3 linked regions of the Arabidopsis thaliana genome follow. The protein of the gene in region 2 interacts with the protein of the main gene of each other region in a pairwise test. Each region holds a gene or a part of one and is shown on either strand. Other genes may lie near its edges.

The links. Proteins that work in one complex are often made in the same cells at the same time.
Region 1: the proteins of TSL (region 2) and TKI1 interact in binary tests that used the Arabidopsis thaliana proteins (3 or more experiments, as listed by UniProt).
Region 3: the proteins of TSL (region 2) and ASF1B interact in a two-hybrid assay, tested with the Arabidopsis thaliana proteins (one study listed by BioGRID).

Annotation. Positions count from the first base shown.
Region 1 is NC_003071.7:15,521,134-15,528,278, reverse strand, and holds TKI1 (TSL-kinase interacting protein 1), read right to left. Parts: upstream 5,360-7,145; 5' UTR 5,181-5,359; intron 4,811-5,180; exon of another isoform or gene 4,750-4,810; 5' UTR 4,728-4,749; coding exon 4,586-4,727; intron 4,499-4,585; coding exon 4,416-4,498; intron 4,339-4,415; coding exon 4,291-4,338; intron 4,192-4,290; coding exon 4,082-4,191; intron 3,637-4,081; coding exon 3,552-3,636; intron 3,453-3,551; coding exon 3,173-3,452; intron 2,968-3,172; coding exon 2,857-2,967; intron 2,757-2,856; coding exon 2,602-2,756; intron 2,510-2,601; coding exon 2,271-2,509; intron 2,175-2,270; coding exon 1,499-2,174; intron 1,421-1,498; coding exon 1,292-1,420; intron 1,211-1,291; coding exon 1,034-1,210; 3' UTR 783-1,033; intron 648-782; 3' UTR 521-647; downstream 1-520.
Region 2 is NC_003076.8:7,095,931-7,103,724, forward strand, and holds TSL (Protein kinase superfamily protein), read left to right. Parts: upstream 1-1,937; 5' UTR 1,938-2,282; coding exon 2,283-2,534; intron 2,535-2,791; coding exon 2,792-2,881; intron 2,882-3,020; coding exon 3,021-3,224; intron 3,225-3,494; coding exon 3,495-3,545; intron 3,546-3,742; coding exon 3,743-3,850; intron 3,851-3,959; coding exon 3,960-4,004; intron 4,005-4,661; coding exon 4,662-4,774; intron 4,775-5,084; coding exon 5,085-5,151; intron 5,152-5,247; coding exon 5,248-5,317; intron 5,318-5,443; coding exon 5,444-5,538; intron 5,539-5,631; coding exon 5,632-5,811; intron 5,812-5,891; coding exon 5,892-6,102; intron 6,103-6,186; coding exon 6,187-6,451; intron 6,452-6,548; coding exon 6,549-6,603; intron 6,604-6,680; coding exon 6,681-6,845; intron 6,846-6,944; coding exon 6,945-7,040; 3' UTR 7,041-7,276; downstream 7,277-7,794. Other genes in the region: EIF2 BETA (eukaryotic translation initiation factor 2 beta subunit), read right to left, coding at 1-52, 147-201, 304-359, 451-565, 693-731; CRR42 (DUF3148 family protein), read left to right, coding at 7,518-7,768. UniProt on the Arabidopsis thaliana protein: Required for correct initiation of floral organ primordia and for proper development of organ primordia. Phosphorylates in vitro ASF1B/SGA1, the C-terminal part of TKI1 and histone H3.
Region 3 is NC_003076.8:15,206,345-15,210,855, forward strand, and holds ASF1B (anti- silencing function 1b), read left to right. Parts: upstream 1-2,013; 5' UTR 2,014-2,298; coding exon 2,299-2,407; intron 2,408-3,080; coding exon 3,081-3,196; intron 3,197-3,288; coding exon 3,289-3,720; 3' UTR 3,721-3,991; downstream 3,992-4,511. UniProt on the Arabidopsis thaliana protein: Histone chaperone that facilitates histone deposition and histone exchange and removal during nucleosome assembly and disassembly.

The DNA of each region.
Region 1 (7,145 bases), on a different chromosome or scaffold from region 2:
CAAGGGGAGGGCACGTAGAGATTGTCTCTTCGTTTACGAACTTGACGTGAAGTGAAAGAGTAGGCCAGTGTAAAGCGGTGTATCACACATTAAAGCACATTTGGCCTTTTATGACAACTTGGCTTATGTCATTGTTGTATCTTGTATGGTTCTCATTATTCAGAGCATATTCCTCATAACAAGAAAATGTTAAAATTACACAAATTCATTGTTTTCCTCTAACTAGGGGTAAAACTGCATCTCACGCACTTAGCAAAAGACAAAGAAAAAACCCTGCATCTCAGGGTGTAAACTTACTCGTACTACACACTAAAAAAAGTGGTTTTCCTCCTGAAAATCAATATGGTTTGGTTTAGTGAACCAGATTTAGTTTTGAATGAAATCTAGTGCACCTAGGGTGTGTATTACTGGTTCATTGAGAGTGAGAAAACTGAATGTTGGAGGATGTTTTAATGTAGAGAATAGAAGAGAAAACCAATTTGAACACATATGATCAAGACAACAAACAAACTTAGTTTTAAATGATTTATTTACTTTATTAAAGAGTCTATTGTTCATAAATCTTCGATTATAGTGGTGATCAAGTGTAGAAAAGTAGAAGTTTGGAATCTTTTTCGGGTAGAATATTGAAATGAAAAAAAAAAGGACTTATCAACACTACTCTTGAATGAGCGAGTTAAATTTTGCGTCCTACGATTGTTCTTTTACTCGCACTCTTAAAAGAACTTAAGAATATTAATTGAAATTCTTATTTGTCATGAAACTTCTATAAACAAAAGAACAAAAAAAAAGAAAAAAAAAAGAAAGAAGGCATGGTAGCCAAATAAACATGTAAATTAACAGTAAAAGTGTACACAGAGAAACATGTATCAACACAAAAGAATGTGTGAAAGGAAGAGTAAAAGGTTACATCAAATTTTTGTACAGTGAAGCTATCAGTTGGTGATAAAAGTTTCTTTTTTCAAAAGGCAAGAAGTCACTTTCTTTTTCAACTATCAACATTTGGACCCCATGCTTTAGCTTTGGTTCCATTTCATACCATGTTAGACTTGTCCTTCTTATTGTCGAACCCAAAGAGCGAGCAGTTCTGAAACGCATCAAGGCTGGTTGCTATCAGACGGCTCAATCCCCCGAGGCTCTCACTAAGGATCAAATCATCTGTATACTTTGACGATCTAATGTCTAAATCCAGTGGTCCTAACGAGTCGGGCTGCAAAGAGGAAACATGTGTTGTTGTTGAATATATATGACTTTTTTACATTGGGGAAATATATGAGATTTCTAAATTTACCCAGTATACATCCGCAAGTCCACAAGGGGTCTTCCCTGGAGAATCCATCGTATGAGGGTCTGCTGGACCCTCTTCCATTGGATCTCCATCGTCATGAGGGTTATAAGATCCCTCATCGCCGGATGAAGCCTAAGAGAAAGTATTGAATCAGATGGTTTAGTTTTGTAAACAATTGAGGGAAGTGGAATTTGAGGCTGATATAGTTACCTCCACCAACTGTGAAGGCTCTCCATTTACTCTGCCAACACCTTTAGGAGAAGCAACACTAGCCAGCTCGGTGGAATTTGCGAAACGATTTTTTTGGAAAGAGAAGGCATCACGTGTTTCTTCATCATCCCACAGAGAGGAAGAGCCAGAAGTCAGCGGTAGTTGAGCACTTGGCTTGTTCTGGTGTCTTAGTATATGAGCAGCAATTGCAGCATCAAAAGAGTCAGAGGTAAATGGGACATCTCGAAGGAGGTAATGTGAACCTTCGGTGGCAGGTGGATCAACACCATCACTATCTATGTCATCGGGCACTTCAGAAAGTAGATCACCTATACTTATGTTAGTAAGACTATCAGCCCATTCTCCTGGTGATTGTGCATTACCGCCGCTCAAATGCTCAAGTGGAGTAATACTCGTTGAAGCAGGTTCATAATCATCTCTAGATCTTGCGGGACGATCATGGACACCAGATGCACATACTAGACCCTGACTGGGCTCTACAGATGTCGTTTGTTCAGCAGTTGAATGCACAGACAAGGGTCCTGATTCAGTAAGGAGCATGTTGACCTCGTTCAACCTATCCACATTCATGTCATCCTCGAGTGAAGGGCAAGGATCTGAAGTTGGAACTTGAGAAATAATAGAACCTGACGCATCATGGACAAACCAACCATACCTGCAAATACATATAAGTAAATTAATTTTGGTTTATCTTGTATGACAATTTGACGAGAAGAAACCTGCAAGAGACTAGGAAAATATGAGAGCAAACCTTAAGCGGAAAACCGAAGGACTTCCGACCATTGAATGCACTTCTGCTGCGCTTAGAAAAGAGTCATGGGTCCACCTCTGATGGCACGTTACAGTTTCTTTTCGTGCGTTGTAAGGAAATAGCAATAGCTCTCCAGTCGCACAACTTGAGCTTCCCCATTTGCGATTGAGATGTTCAAGTACAGATGATATCTTCTTGCGATTACTAAGAGTAAGTTCAAGATGCGGATTGTGCTTATCCTGTTAAAGTGTTAAGTGTTAACAGATCAAGCTCCATTTCATGTCTCAGAAAATTATTGCTCCAATCAGTATAATTCCTATTTGAAGCTTACCATTTCCAAGGATCTTCGAGTACATTCATCAATCGGGAACAGCTGAAGTTTAAGCTTGGCAGAAAACTGCATATTGGCATCACTGAGAGGAACATCACCAGCTGAGCATAGAGAAAGTGGAGACTTTCCGGTTAAATATCTTGTGGGACCTAAATCTAAGATAAAAAGAGAATCTGATTTAGAATTTGCACATGTTAGTCCTCAAAAAACATATATCTAAGAAAAGGAACTATCATCCAATACTAGTAAGTAAACCTGTTTGATCATCCATATCTTTGTCAATTGATGTTCGTTCCAAATGCTCTGCAGCATCAGCAACCAGAGAGACCCCATCTATTGCAGCTTTTTCCCATTTTCTATAACCTGCTGAAAAAGGAAGAGATGCTTAGAGTCACGTAAGAACCTGGAACTACATCAAGCTTTTAAATAGCAACATAAAATCTAATATCAACATGGAAGATTAAAAGCAGATAATGTCCAAATTTGTGTGAACACTGAAAACACACACAATATGGGGCTGAAGAAAACTGCCTATCTAACAAACATGCATAAAAACTAGTAAAGAAAGAACCTTGTTTTCGCCGTTGCCTTCCACCTCTCCCAAAGGCTGTGTCTTCTTTTTCGTCACCAAGGTTGACACTTAAGCTTTCACCATGTTTGGTAGATGCTCTTCCAGGCCCTAGCTTTTTAACATTTTGGCCGTCGGAGAGAATAAGTTTAAATGGACGGTTATCCAATCCTCTTTCTCTACTATGACTTGAGATGTTTCCGAGGGAAGCAGAAGAGAGATTTTCTCCCTGGCAAGTCCGTTTTCTTATGCTCTTTCTGCGGTCTTTCAGCAATTGGTGTTCCTTCATGCAAAAGGTTTTGTTAGACAATAGTTTGTAAACGATTCCTTGTCAAATCCAAGGTGGTTTTGGGTTAAACGAAATTCGCATTTGCCAACTAACCAAGGCCTCTATAAATAGTTTGAATCTCCGGGGCTTGAGATGAAGTTTTGAAGCTTTGCAGCTATACTTTTCAAGCAAAGACCACCTGCAAGACACATGAAAAAGCATGTTTACTTTAGTCAGACGAGCTGAGTGATAATTAAGATCATGATATGTGAAATCATGTCATCTAGGAGAATGGAAGAAGCTATGATGTCTGAAATATAAGTCAGTTGCTACTATCTGATCATGTATGAGGTTCCTGGCAGATATTATCAAAGCACATGAAAAAAACAAAAAACCTTACCTTAACATTATATTGTCACTAGCAGGAAATGCATAGCTATACTACAGAAATTACTTTACGCAAATGGAACCCTTAAATGAATGTGACCATGCCTACTTAATAATACTCATAGTATCATAACATGCTATAACTTGTTATCTAGAAAAATACCCGGAGAGTGATATTCATCATTTGTTTACGATAACGTAACAATCTACCATACCAGCACAAAGCATAACAGAAAAGAAATGTATAAATCAAGTACCATCGTAGCATTGCAGCATTGGTGTCCTTTGGGTTCTTGGCATCAAGGCTCAGATCCGGGCCCAAAAGTTTGTTCATACGCCTCACTAAACGATAATAGTAATGCCTGACCTGCAAATCACAAGAAGTTTCCACAACCATCAGAAACTAAAAGCAAACACCAGCAAGTGCAAGCGAAAAGAAAACAAACACAAAACTAAAACAACCAACCTGGTCCTTGTTTTTGCTCTGAACACGAGAAGTTATCTTCTCAAAATTCTACAAAACAACACAAAGAGAAGGTTCACACACATAACAGGTTAACAACATAGAGAAGAAGAACGTCAAGGTGATACCTTTCCAACTTGACGAAGAGCAGTGAAGAAACTTTCCTCTTCTTGATGTGTCCAAGCAGCCCATTGCCTAGTCGGCTTCTTAGCTGCAACATCGCCATTTCCATTAAAAAAAATCAACTAAGCTAACAAAACAAGCATACAAGCACAACTTTTAAATCAATGCAACATACCAGGAAACTGAGTAATACTGATAGAAGCAGAAGAGAGTAAATTAGGGTTGCTGTTCTGGTTTGATAAACGGCCCTCACCGTTAGGACCTTCGGGTATCAGCTCGGCTTGCATTTCGCAATAATGCGTAAACTGTTTAAGCATTCATGCTTTTGATTTCAACTTCCTACAAATCAGAGCAATGAATCCTAAACCATGAACATTCAAAATCCCAAAAAAAAGGCGAAACTCTACATAGCGATCATCAACTAAAATCACAAGAAATTTAGCAACCGACAGAAAAATTTTACAGGCAATTCATAATTTTTACATCCACGACACAAATTTGAAAAACCCTAATTTCGAAGATATAACGAAGAACAAACAAATTTCACCTTCAATAAAACCCTAAAATTAATTTCACCAGATCACAACAAAAACAAAAACCCAATTCTACTTAATTCAATACCCTAATTAAGCTAAATCTCATAAGGGAAGACGAAAAATTGAAAAATTAAGAACTAGGGTTACTAAATACAAACTCGAAATTTGAATTGAAATTTTTAAAAAAATAAGTTTGACCCCGAAAAAAAACACGAAAAATATGAGAAATATTACCTGAAAAGGTTTGAAATGTGGAATTGGAAGTGGGATTGACGAACACTAGTCGAGAATTTAGGGTAAATCGAACGAAATTGAAGCCGAAGATATTTTTCCGATGAACAACCACGGTTGAACCAAGCGAGAGAGAAAAATAAATTTTATTTTTTTTCTTGTTTTTTACATTCACATAAAATTAAAAAGAAAATAAAATAAAAAGGAATGTAATTAATTTAGTTACTTGTTATCTAAGATGTCAAAATATATGTTTGTCATGGTGGGTTAACATATATTATATTCTTGTAATTAAATGAGTTTTTTTACTTTTCGAAAGAATCAATCAAAAATATTTTAATTATTTTATGAACAAAGGAGAGAAATATATACGAAATTATTATTTATTTTATCTTTTATTAAACACATAAAGTTGAATAAGCCAGTTGCCTTCGTCACGCTAAGTATTATTTTATCTAAAGTGAAACTATAGATTAGGAAAATTCGGAAATTTTACTATTTTCTTCTACAATTTCATGAAAATAGAAAAATATTTCTACTATTTTGCCTCGTTAAAAAGGGGAAAAAAAGACAACAAAAAATTAGTTGAATCGTAATGCACGTGGCTTGGGTTGGCATCTGGCAAGTCGCATGATAAAGATAAAGCGTTTAGAAGTTAAAACGCCAAAATAATATTTGAAATTGTGGTTTGTGTTGGATATAGTCCTCAGGCCCTGGTACAAAAATTAGGTCTGGTCCAATAAATACATACATGGGCTTTTATTTAGCCCAATAGTAACTAATTCACAAGATCCAAATTTTTGTAAATCTTTTCTTCTGTCAACGATCCAATCTTTAATCTTTGTATATGTTAGATGAGCTAACACTTTTTTTCAGAAAATAAGCCTTATACACGCTTTCAAGGTAGAGGGGTTCAAATTTACATCTTTGAAACACGTATGGTATCGATAGCTCTAATAGTCGATATTTTTTGGGATCTTATTTTTGAGATAAAATATGACCAAGTTTTGGGTTCGTATCCTACGAGCAGCCAAGAATGGAGTTATTTATCTAGCTATAGTCTCTGGCCTAAGAAAAATATATGTCAACGTCACAAAGAACGGAGCCGGTTTATCTAACATGATTTTTGATCTCACGGTTCAACTTCTATAGGGTAACCAATAAGTATAACCTATGCACGTAGAGCATTAATGAATAAATTGACTTGTAGTCCTTTTCGGTTAAAAGTTGACTTATCGTTTCGTTAAAAAGAATGGAGAAAGTCAGAAGTCGGAGTTACGATACGACGAATTAACATGACTCTGGCCTTTTTTCATCATGTCATGCTCAAATTGTTTGACAAATTCAATTTGTTACGCGAAGCGTAGAGATTTGACCCAAAACTATTCGCATGTGGATTGGAGATATGTATATCCTTTTCTTATTAAGTTTGTAGAAGATGTTTTCCCACTTACGGGTGTTTTTTCTATTATATTAGAAAACTTTTCTATTTTGATAAGGATTAGAAAACTTTTCTTGACCCAATTGTTATTTCTACGGCGACAGTTTAAGATTTCAAGTTTAACTACTCTTTTAGTCTTGTAAATAAAGCATAATTTAAGTTCTACTAAACATGTAAGTTGTATTAGTTAGACCATTTTAGTATTTTACCTCTCAATATATCACTAAACTCAATTTGTTTGAGTTTTCCTAGTAGGTCTAGATCAAAATAGAGTCTGAATTCAAATATTAGTATGCTGCATTTTAAAAAAACTTATATGGACTAAAAAGGCCATCAAAAACTTAGATATGAAAACATGCGTCTATAAGTCGATTAGTCCAATCAGAACATAATTTCGGTATAGCTCCGAGTTTGATTTCTCTGGTTGAACAATCGAGCTACATGCATGCTCGTGTTTTAGGTTTTCGCATAAAATCTTTGACATGGTGGTTTTGTGTAACCAAGCACTTGATCATCTTCATATTAGC
Region 2 (7,794 bases):
CGTTGCTGTAGAACTATTCCTTCTTCCCCCTCTTGCTCGTCATTAGCAATCTCTGCAATATATTCTCAGTAAGATTCAAACAGGATAAAAACCCCGCCAAGAGAAAAGGTATATTAGCAAACAAAAAAAAAGGATATTAAAAGTACCATCCAAATCTTCCCCAGCATCAACACTTTCGTTGTTCAATAAGCTTGATTCAGTCTAAATATCAAACAAGAACAAATGTGAGTCACAGAATCATCAAACACACAAGTTTAATGACATAAAAAAAATACTAGGCACAAAACGTAAAACAATACTCACTGGCTTCTTCTTCTTTTTCTTCATTCCAGTAAATGAACTCTCAAGACCATCATTAACTGCAAAAACAAGGAATTAGACAAAGTAACACAAAAGACCATTGAAACAAAAAAAATGTTTCACATCACATTGACTCTTCATCATACATACCAGGCAATGAATCAGATTTCTCAGTCTGTGAAGACTCTGCTAAGTCCTCGACAGGTTCCTGAATCACAACCTTCTTCTTCTTTTTCTTCTTGGAAGGATCAAAGGGTGCGAGCTGCTGTAAAAGGATGAACCAAAACATAAAAACCATTCAATCATGAGTTCATCAAACAAAACAAAAAAAAAAATCTATATGGCTAACTTGAGCCCTATCATTAAGAAACAGAGAAAAAAAACAAACTTACTTCTTGCTCTTCCCTTATCTCATTGATTTCATCAGCCATGATTGCAACTGAGATACAAAACGAAAACACACAATGATAATAAGACCTCAGAAACCAAACATATACATATTAGAATCAACATAATCTGTAACAACGATGAGCATAGGCAAGTCCGAAATTAGGGTTTCTAAATCAGAGAGGTAATTCGGAACGCAACAAAACCATAACGAGATTCAGAACAACTTTTCGATTCCCAATAAAAAAAATACCCAAATAAAATGTACGACAAGGCTTCAAATCAGAAACGGAACAGCTAGGTTTACCAATCTGTTTATACTCAATTCTTCCAAAAACACGATTTACTCTGAGATCGACCAGAAGAATTCGAAAAGGAATCGAAGAAAACTCACAAAGGGATGTCTAAGCGCTGAAATTGGCGTAGAGAGTAAACGAGGTTGCTTCGGGAGGAATCTGAGAGAGAGTAAGCGGCGCAGGGGTTGTTTTAATCTGAGATAAGAGTTAACCCTTGCTCCTCCAAAAAAATAGTCCATCTCGAATTGTAACTTTTTTTTTTAATTCAATAGTAAAAGGTCTCTGTAAATATTTCATTTTGCCTAAACCTTAATATTACATTTTTACTTTTTTCTTTTTCTTAACGCATGTTACATTTTAATTTTATCTATTAATTGACACTGAGATTCTCATTTATTATTTTATTTGTCTTAATTAATTAATCAATTGAAATTTTATCAAATCAATTTTTTTTTTTTCAAATTAAGATTTATTTCTTATTAAATTCTGTGAATAGTAAATTATATAAAAATGTTATTAAATATAAATGAAACTAGTAAAGAAAGAAATCAGAATATATTTAGTGTCAAAATTAATAGTCTAGCATATCTTATTTTACTATAAATTACTAAATTATATTATTTTATTATTTAATATATTAAGTATTTTAGTTTGTTAGATATTCAGTAACAAAATTTCCGCAAATGCATTAATTTTCAACCGCTAAATTAATCGTTCAAATTGTTTAATAACGCTTGAGACGGCAACCGCCTACTTCCGCAAATTCATATAGTCATAATCGGATTTTAGCGTTTAAACCACGAGTCTGGCCTTAGATCAAAGAAAACCCTACTTATAGTCAACCCTAATCCATGATACCAAATGGAGAAAAAAAAAGAAAGAAAAAATGGAAATTTCCCAAATTAACACACCCATAACTCAAACTTGTCTCAAACCTCAGATTATATAATTAGGCTAAAATCTGATAAACCAAAAAATGTATCAGAGTGAGTGCTAAAGAGAACTTTGTGTTGACCTCTCTTTCCCTCCTAATTCCTTAGGGTTCCTCGATTTTTCTTTTTCACCGAAACAAAAACCTTATTCCTCCTTCTCTTTCTCTGTCTATCTTTCTCTGTACGTTTTATTCACTTTCCTCCACGTGGATTTGCATAAAAGCATGAAAATTTGTTGATGGGTTTCTCTTCGACATCCAGATTCTAGCTTCCAATTCCGTAATTCTCCGTTAAAAAACCCTAATTTCTCGAATTTACTCTGATCTGTGTAGAAATTAGGGAGTGAAGTGTCCGCAAGTGTTTGGCAATGTCGGATGACATGGTTTTGCATTTCTCCTCGAATTCTTCTAATCAGTCGGATCACTCTTTACCCGACAAAATCGCCAAGCTTGAGGCCCGCTTGACTGGTAAGACCCCTTCCTCGGCCAAGCCACCACAACAACAACAACAGCAGCAGCAGCAGGTCTCTCTCTGGTCATCTGCTTCTGCCGCTGTCAAAGTCGTCACTTCCACACCGCCGGGATTGTCCGAAACCTCTATCAGTGATTCAGACGACGAGGTAGCTTCCGATGTTTGTTTCAAATTCTTTTGTTTATGTCTATGCTATGATTCTTGTGAGTCTAAGGGTCGTTGCTAATTGAATTGTTGATGTCCCTATCCTCCTTGTATTGATCAGTTTGTGCCTAAAGATTGATCAAAGTTGTATGCAATGCTGGCTACATATCCTGGCATTGCAGATGCATCTATATTTCTTTCTTGAACAAGAAATACAGTCTCTTTTTTAGCTAGATCTCATTCTCCTTGTTACTGTCTCAGAATACTGGAGATTTCCTAATCCGAGCAAATACAAAAAAGCGCCAGAAAGTTCAAGAATCTAACAACTTCAGTGTTGTTGATCATGTTGAGGTATTGATTTTTCATAAAGAGTTTTCTTTTAGTCTCTTATCGGGTTGATGTTTTTTATATCAAATATTGGTGTATGATGTAAGTTTTGTCTCCTAGTATTTCTCATCAACTTATAATGAAGAATATTGTTGAATTGAAGCCACAAGAGGCAGCATATGATGGAAGGAAAAATGATGCTGAGTCCAAGACAGGCCTTGATGTAAGTAAGAAGAAACAAGGTCGAGGTCGGGCTTCGTCAACAGGTAGAGGGCGTGGTTCTAAAACTAATAACGATGTGACAAAATCTCAGTTTGTGGTTGCACCAGTATCAGCTGCCAGTCAACTGGATGCCTCTGATCAAAAGGTTAGTATTGTTTACCTCATCGGACCTTACATGGAACCACTCTTCTCATCATCGAGGATTTACATATATGAGACTTAATTTCGTTGACAAACGTGGACACAAATTATATGTTTTCCTGAAGTAAAACCTTTTAATTGGCCTGTATGAAAAAATTAAGCAGGACAAGAAAGAATTACTATGCCTTTTCCTACCTTTTTTTTTGCTGTTTGCATTGATGTTGATGACCAGACGCAGTTTATCAATGAATATTTTCTGCATTTTATTCTCCAGGATTTTAGGCCTGATGGACAGCTCAGGAATGGTGAATGCTCTCTCCAGGATGTAAGTTTCTCCTATAATGTCTTTTACTCTGTAATATTGGAGAATATGTTTGTGTCTCATCGTCTAGGACTAAGCTGCATGTTCTAAGTTGGTTAGAATAAGTGAACGGGATTATTATATATGATTATCCTACAACAATGAAACTGTACAATTATATCTTTCTTTATTCACTATTTTGTTCCTTGTTTATAAATCAGGAAGACTTAAAATCTTTGCGTGCAAAAATCGCTATGCTGGAGGAGGAATTGCGTAAATCTCGACAAGATTCTTCTGAGTATCACCACCTTGTCAGGAATCTTGAGAATGTATTGTGTGAATGCCTTTCAGATTTAGCTATTTGTGCCTATGCTATTACCATTTTTATCTATTCCCATTCCCCTGCTCTGCTTATAATCCTAGTAATGATATATGCAGGAGGTAAAAGATCTGAAAGATCAGGAACAACAAGGGAAGCAAAAGGTACGCAAACTTTTGTTTCCGTGTCTTAATAGATTATTGAGAATTTTTATGTTCTTTTATAAAATTTTGCACCTACTATGGCATGGTTACTTTTAATATTCTCAATGATTTTGGGAGAATCTTAGAGTTAAACATTTTTCTCCATAAGAAGCATGGTAGTTCTATCCCGAGAAAGTTAAATCAATAGACAGTCTCCTGATTTGCTTAGAATGCTCAGTAAATTTATTGATGGTGCTGCTGCTAAATAACTGAAATATCTGTGAAAGCTTGGATCTTGCAATTGTCTACGTTACCTATAGTACTCCATTTCCAGTGAGCTCTTTTCGTAAAGCATTTAGTAGTATTTCTTTAGGTAATAATTAATAGGCAATCTATTGCGGAGAAGGCGATTTAGGTGCATTGAATGTGGAACCAAATTGTAACGAACTGGGTATCTTCATATCAACTTGGTACTTAAATTGGCAGAAACTTTTGCAAACCCTGTAGCACTATTACTGTTAGTGTAATGAAGAAATTTATCAAATGTTTTGTGGCTGCTTCTCTCTGATATTCTTAATAACTCTTACATACTTATGGAAATCATGCGGAATTATTTGGTCTAAGCTAACAGTGCACTTGCTAACAGCAAGCTTTGAACCTTTCTTTTTCTTCACGCAGACAACTAAAGTAATCTCGGACCTTCTCATATCTGTTTCCAAAACTGAGAGACAAGAAGCAAGAACGAAAGTCAGAAATGAATCTTTGCGATTAGGCAGTGTTGGTGTTCTCAGGTCTGCCATAATATATTTATAATTTTATATGAGTTCTTAGTATTTATCCAATATATCATTCATTTCTGTGATCATTTACACAAGGTTTGAAATTATATTTCACAGAGAGGTATAATAAAACATGTATAGCAAATACAAATTTGCTTTATAGTAAAATCTTTAAACAAACTCGAATAGAGTTTTAGATAGAAGTTGCTTTCACATTTCTCAATAATTGCAGCTCTCTTCTTTGCTAAGTTACAAGGTTAGTTCTTGATTTTGTGATCAAAATTTAATACATATGCTTGTGTGTGTTTTTTGGTGATTTCAGGACAGGAACGATCATAGCTGAGACATGGGAGGACGGACAAATGTTGAAAGATCTGAATGCTCAACTTGTAAGTTAAGCTGTGTAGCGAGGGATTTTTATCAAACTAATACCAATAAGCTTTGAAGTAACTGTACTGATTTTTCTATAAATTTGCAACGAAAAGAGACAATTGCTGGAAACCAAGGAGGCTATTGAGAGACAAAGAAAGTTACTTAAGAAACGACAAAATGGTGGTATGTTATCCCAGTATTTTTTTGTTTGTCAGTGAATCCGCAATCTCCTGTAATATATCTTGTGATTTTTTCCTTGGGCAAATTGTTATGATGTTTGGCACCCTTGGTTTTTCCATTTGGGTGTAGATAAGAATGACGGAACCGACACAGAATCAGGAGCACAGGAGGAAGATATCATCCCTGACGAGGTTTACAAGTCTCGTCTTACTAGTATTAAGCGGGTATGTTCTTTATGCATCATCTCAGCTTCTTGTTTCCTATAAGTTGATTCGGTTCTGGTTACGTATCATACATTTATTGGTTTTACCTTTCAGGAAGAGGAAGCTGTTTTGCGTGAGAGAGAAAGGTACACATTAGAGAAGGGGCTACTTATGAGGGAGATGAAACGCATACGAGATGAAGATGGTTCTCGTTTCAACCATTTCCCAGTTTTGAATAGCCGCTATGCTCTTCTAAATCTTCTTGGTAAAGGCGGATTTAGTGAAGTCTATAAGGTCAGAACATTGATAGATACTACATTCTTTTACATGTGAGAATTATTTTGCAGTAATATGATGTTATGGATTTTAAGCAGGCATATGATTTGGTGGACCATAGATATGTTGCGTGCAAGCTTCATGGTTTAAATGCTCAGTGGAGTGAAGAAAAGAAGCAAAGTTACATCCGCCATGCCAACAGGGAATGTGAGATCCATAAAAGTCTTGTGCATCACCACATTGTTCGGCTTTGGGATAAATTTCATATCGACATGCATACATTCTGCACCGTTCTGGAATATTGTAGTGGTAAATCAGAATTCTCCTATTCCTTTGTAGATCCTGGAGTACAGTTCTGAGTTCTCACTCTTATGTTTTGAATTTCTAATGCAGGGAAAGACCTTGATGCTGTATTAAAGGCAACATCTAATCTTCCTGAGAAAGAAGCAAGGATTATCATTGTGCAAATAGTTCAAGGCCTTGTATATCTGAACAAAAAGTCACAGAAGATAATCCACTATGATCTGAAGCCTGGTAATGTTCTCTTTGATGAGTTTGGAGTAGCAAAAGTAACTGATTTTGGTCTAAGCAAGATAGTGGAGGACAATGTTGGTTCTCAAGGAATGGAGCTTACATCACAGGGAGCTGGAACATACTGGTGAGCAATCTAGTTTTTGTCTCCTTGATATGGTCTATATTATTTTTGTCTCTTCTACTTCCGGACATCTTATAGCTAACAAGGTTCTATAATATAGGTACTTGCCCCCAGAATGCTTTGAGCTTAACAAAACTCCTATGATCTCATCAAAGGTCAGTGATTGGTCAATGATGTCATAATCTGATTATCTTATAGAAGTTTTGTGGTACTAAATTGTGTTGAAACTCAGGTTGATGTATGGTCAGTTGGTGTTCTGTTTTACCAAATGCTGTTTGGAAAGCGACCTTTTGGACATGACCAAAGCCAAGAACGGATACTAAGAGAAGACACAATCATTAAAGCCAAAAAGGTTGAGTTCCCAGTAACAAGACCTGCCATCTCAAATGAAGCGAAGGTAAATTAACTGTACCGGTCTTAAACATGGTTTAAGTAAAGTAGTACCAAATAGTCATGAAACTGTCTCTCCATGTTCTCACTTTTGCATTTTCTGCAGGATTTGATTCGACGGTGTCTAACATATAACCAAGAAGATAGGCCGGATGTTCTAACAATGGCACAGGATCCATATCTTGCCTACTCTAAGAAGTGAGATTGTGTAGTCTTCAAAAACAAACCAGAGATGCTAAAAGACCAGATCCTAGAATATTTTTTGGTATAGCTTATAAAGTTTCTGTTTTGTTTGTCTAAATATTTTATCTCCCGGCCCCTTGAACCATATTAATTTCGGGTGAAGTTAATGTGTCTTGTCTTCCTTTTATTATGTAACATGTTATGTATATTCTTCATGTTTTATAATAGAAGAAAGCTGAAAGTTGGAAACAGGCCCCAAATCGTTCTTGCTTCTCAGGTTTAAGACAATATGAAATGTGATCAATTGAAGAAATAAGAAATATAACAAATCCGGCTGGAGAATACTGGACTGGAACTGAACTAAACCGAAGAGTAAACCAAGACAAAACCGAAGATTGAAAATCATTGGCTTGCTAGTAAACTACTACGAGACAAAAGTCTACTTATCCCCCCACTCATACCACTAAAAAACTCACACTTGCTGGCTTCTTCTTCCATGGCTTTATCTTTTGTTTCTTCAACTAGATTCTCCAAGATGCAATATGGCATATGGCACAGTGGATCCTTCACGCAACGAGTCAGTGTGAGATGCTGTGAAATCGCAAACGAGGCTCCACGACCAAAATCGAAGCTCCAAGTAGGATCACCGATCATCATCGTCGAAGCTCCCAAAGTTATAAAAACGGCCGCTTCAATGCCTTGCCTTAGGGCCAACTCTGGCTTGGTCAAGCCTGGCGATGTTGGAAGGTCTTCTTCTTCTTCTTCTATTTTAT
Region 3 (4,511 bases), 8.1 Mb from region 2:
TACCCTTTTATAAGCTTTTAAAATCCTTGTAAATCATTATATACCACTTACTTATCTTTTAAAAACGATTGTAAACCATGCAAACCTTTTTTAAAATCTCTTGTAAATCATTCTTTGACACTTACTTATGCTTTAAAAACGATTGTAAATCATGTTAACCCCTTTTAAAATCCCTTGTAAATCATTCAATGTCACTTACTTATGCTTTAAAACGATTGTAAATCATACAAACACTTTTAAAATCCCTTGTAAATCATTCTATGCCACTTACTTATGCTTTAAAAACGATTGTAAATCATGTTTTACCCTTTTATAAGCTTTTAAAATCCCTTGTAAATAATTCCAATACCACTTACTTATACTTAAAAAAACATTGTAAACCATGCTAACCCTTTTTAAAAATCTTTGTAAATCATTCTATGCCACTTACTTATGCTTTAAAAACGATTGTAAATCATGTTTTACCCTTTTATAAGCTTTTCAAATCCCTTGTAAATCATTCAATGCCACTTACTTATGCTACAAAACGATTGTAAACCATGCTAACCCTTTTTAAATCCCTTATAAATCATTCTATGTCACTTACTTATGCTTTAAAACGATTGTAAATCATGTTTTACCCTTTAATAAGCTTTTAACATCCCTTGTAAATCATTCAATGCCACTTACTTATGCTTAAAAAACGATTGTAAATCTTGTAAAACTATTGTAAAAAGTTTTAAAATGATTTACAAAGGTTTAAAAAGGGGTTTTAAAGTATTTACCTATGTTTTTAAAGACTTTATAAATATTTTAAGAGGTTTTAAAATGATTTACAAGGGTTTTTAGCAACTACCAAAGCTTTTAAAAAACCTTGTAAAGTTTTTTAAAAGAGTTTTTAAAAAACTTTACAAGGTTTTTTAAAAGAGTTTTTAAAAAATTTACAAGGATTTTTAAAAGCATTTTTTTGGCTGGGAAAAAAAATTTACGAGAAAAAAATTTGGCGGGAAAATTTTTTTTGGCGGGATTTTTTTTTTTGGTGGGAAAAAAAGTTTGGCAGAAATGTTTTTTGGCGGGAAAAATAATTTTTGGCGCCAAAAATTTGGCGGGAAACTATCAGTTTCCAATTACATGTTCTTATTAGATGAGGGTAATTTGGTCATTCTGTTCAAGGGAAGAGATATTTTTAAAAATGAATAATATAAAAGGGTATTATTACAAAAAGGTAGTAAAAAAAGGATAGTTTTGTAAATCTGCCTAATCAAAATCTGCTACTTACTAAAATAAAATTGAATTCATTTAAGTTATAAAGTTTAATCCACCTCAAAAATGAACTTTTATATCAGTTTTGAGTTGACAAAAAAGAGTTAGGGTTTAGATTTTATGATTAAACAAAGTGAAATCTCTGTTTGAGTTTATAAACATTTAGATTTTATAATTAAACGAGGTTAAATATTGGTTTAGGTTTAGAAAAAATTGTTAGGGTTTAGATTTTACATTTTAACAAGTTTAAGTATCGGTTTGGAGTTTACAAAGGAGAAGTAAAGTTAGATTTTGTAATTAAACGAAATTATATATATCAGTTTGGATTAATAGAAGAGTGGTTGGATTTTACATTTTATAGATTTTATAGTTAAATGTTTTTTTATTCATTTATTAGCTGGCATATTCCGATTGGCTGAAACAAAAGAGTGAATAACATTAGTAGAAATGAACCAAAGTATTCTTTGATTTCAATTTCTTTTCCTTTGGTCTCTTCTAATGAAAAATTGTTACTACTATGAATTGAAAATTTTACTTTTTTAAAATTCTACTTTTGTTTTCACTAAATCTTTATACTGGTATAATATTACACATTATTCTAATTATATTTTTACTCTATTCAACAGTTACACATACAATATTGTCAATTAATTGTTAAGTGAAAACTTTTAACTAAATCTAAATTTAGCCCATGGGCCTTAAAACTTAAGTATTATTAGTTAAAATGGCCTCGATTTCAATTCCTTTTATATTTCCCTCTTCTAATTGAGGTTTTAAAGCTCTCCCGCCAATATAGTTGACCGGTAACTACCGGTTATTAGCCTTATACCAACCGGTTAAAAAAAAACCACCCAATAACTGGCAAATTGAAATCGCTCTAACCACGAACCGTCTCTGAATCTGACCGACCACCATTCTTCTCGCGCCGGCGATTTCACTGTTTACAGAGAAATCTCGAGAACCCTAACCTGGGTCTCTCTAGATTTCTTTGAAATTTCGAGAATCTAGGGTTTCAAACTAAAATCGAGTCCTTGAGTTTTCCCAATTTAAATCGTTATGAGCTCTATCAATATCACTAACGTCACCGTCTTGGACAATCCTGCTCCGTTTGTGAATCCATTCCAGTTCGAGATTTCTTACGAATGCTTGACCTCTCTCAAAGACGGTACCTTTTACTTTCCCTGATCCTCTATCTTTCGAAAATTGATACTATGTTGATTTATTTTCGATTTTGTTATTATATTCTTCGGAACCGATTGAAGAATGAAGAACCTGTGATTGGATATGTGAATAATGCTACAAAAGATTCAATTTTTGGGGTTTTAAAGTATGATTTGTAGCTAATTGACTTCACTGTGTTAGGGTTTTCTTGCATTTGTATGAGCTCACACACGATCTGTCTCGAGCTTAGTGTACTCTCTTTGGCTTAGAAGTTGGTTATATGTCTGCAATTGTTCGTATTCAACATTGTAGTTGTGGTATTTAGGAGCCTTGTCTTTGCTCTATGAGGATTGTTTACTGTGAATGGTTATTTTGTATGGCTTATCTTTCGGATGTGTTGGCTCTCAAATGAGATTTGACCTCTGGCTCAGTGGCTATGTACTGTAATTTCACACATTACTAGTTGCAAGTTATCGGTTCTTGATCATGGCAGAGAATTATTGTTCTAGATATCATTATGTGTGTGTTGCTTATCCTTCTGCAATAAAAGCGTAAAACCGTTTTGCCTATACCAACTGGTTAAGTTTCTGTGCTTTGTAAATTTTCGTGATTTCTAGTCATGATCACATTCTGGTAAGCCTGATGTGTGAGATAACGTTTCTTTGGTTTTGCTACAGATTTGGAATGGAAGCTTATATACGTAGGGTCAGCTGAAGACGAAACGTATGATCAAGTTTTGGAAAGTGTTCTTGTTGGTCCTGTTAACGTTGGGAACTATCGATTTGTGTTGCAGGTAGTGTATGATTAGTTTTATTCTTCTCTCTTTGTTTCTGGTGGTTTAGGTACATAATCTTAGTCTAAACTTTTTGTTTGATTAAATGATAGGCTGACTCTCCAGATCCGTTAAAGATTCGTGAGGAAGATATTATTGGTGTTACTGTGTTATTGTTGACTTGCTCATACATGGATCAAGAGTTTATAAGAGTTGGCTATTATGTGAACAATGACTATGATGATGAACAGCTCAGGGAAGAGCCTCCTACCAAGGTTTTGATTGATAAGGTCCAAAGGAACATACTCACAGACAAACCTAGAGTAACTAAGTTCCCTATCAACTTTCATCCTGAGAATGAGCAGACTCTTGGTGATGGGCCTGCACCTACTGAACCATTTGCTGATTCTGTTGTAAATGGAGAAGCTCCGGTGTTTCTTGAGCAGCCACAAAAGCTTCAGGAGATAGAACAATTTGATGATTCTGATGTAAATGGAGAAGCTATAGCGTTGCTTGATCAGCCACAAAATCTCCAGGAGACATGATTCTTGTTTGACTCAAGCTTAACTGGAAACTGGATTAGAACTATCATCTCAATTCTAATCGAAAGATTTGTATTTTTGTTTCTTTTATCTGGAACTTGAACTCCAGTTGTGTTACTGTTTGTAGAAATTTAAGTTCTTCTTGCAACATCCCTATACTGTGCTATGTTCAGAGTTCTTAGTTCCCATTCTTCTTGTTATCCTAGTGGCTAATGCAAGCAGATCATTGCAAACACTAACAATTCACTTGAAGATAGTTGTTTAAGAAATGCACTTATTCTCAAAATTAGGTATGGCTTAGTGACCCATAAAACTTTCGTTTAGTCCACGTTTAAAGAATTTTTCAAAATTTAAAGGTAAGACAATCCATTTCAACAATTTTCTCACAAGCATCACATTTAAAAACATGGTCTATGGGTGAGTTGTTCTTCTGATTTATTCTGTCTTTCAACTTAGTTTTTCTTCCCAATCAGTTTCCACCAAGATAATTTCACTGCACAATCAAAGCCATAATACAATACATAGCAAATACATCAAATATTAAGCTACAAACAATCAAATGCTTTTTAGTTTAATGTTTTTGAAATCTTAACGGTTATTAGCTAGGAAACACTTCCATCAAGAAATTTCCAGTCTAACAAAAGTATTTATAAACTTTTAAGGAACTAGAATATAGTTGAAAAATGCTTAATGGTCGACCTATATTCATCCATATGTACACTATAATACAATGTTATTATACTACTATTGTTGTCCATATAGAGGTTCAAAGAAAATCACTTTGTACTTAGAGT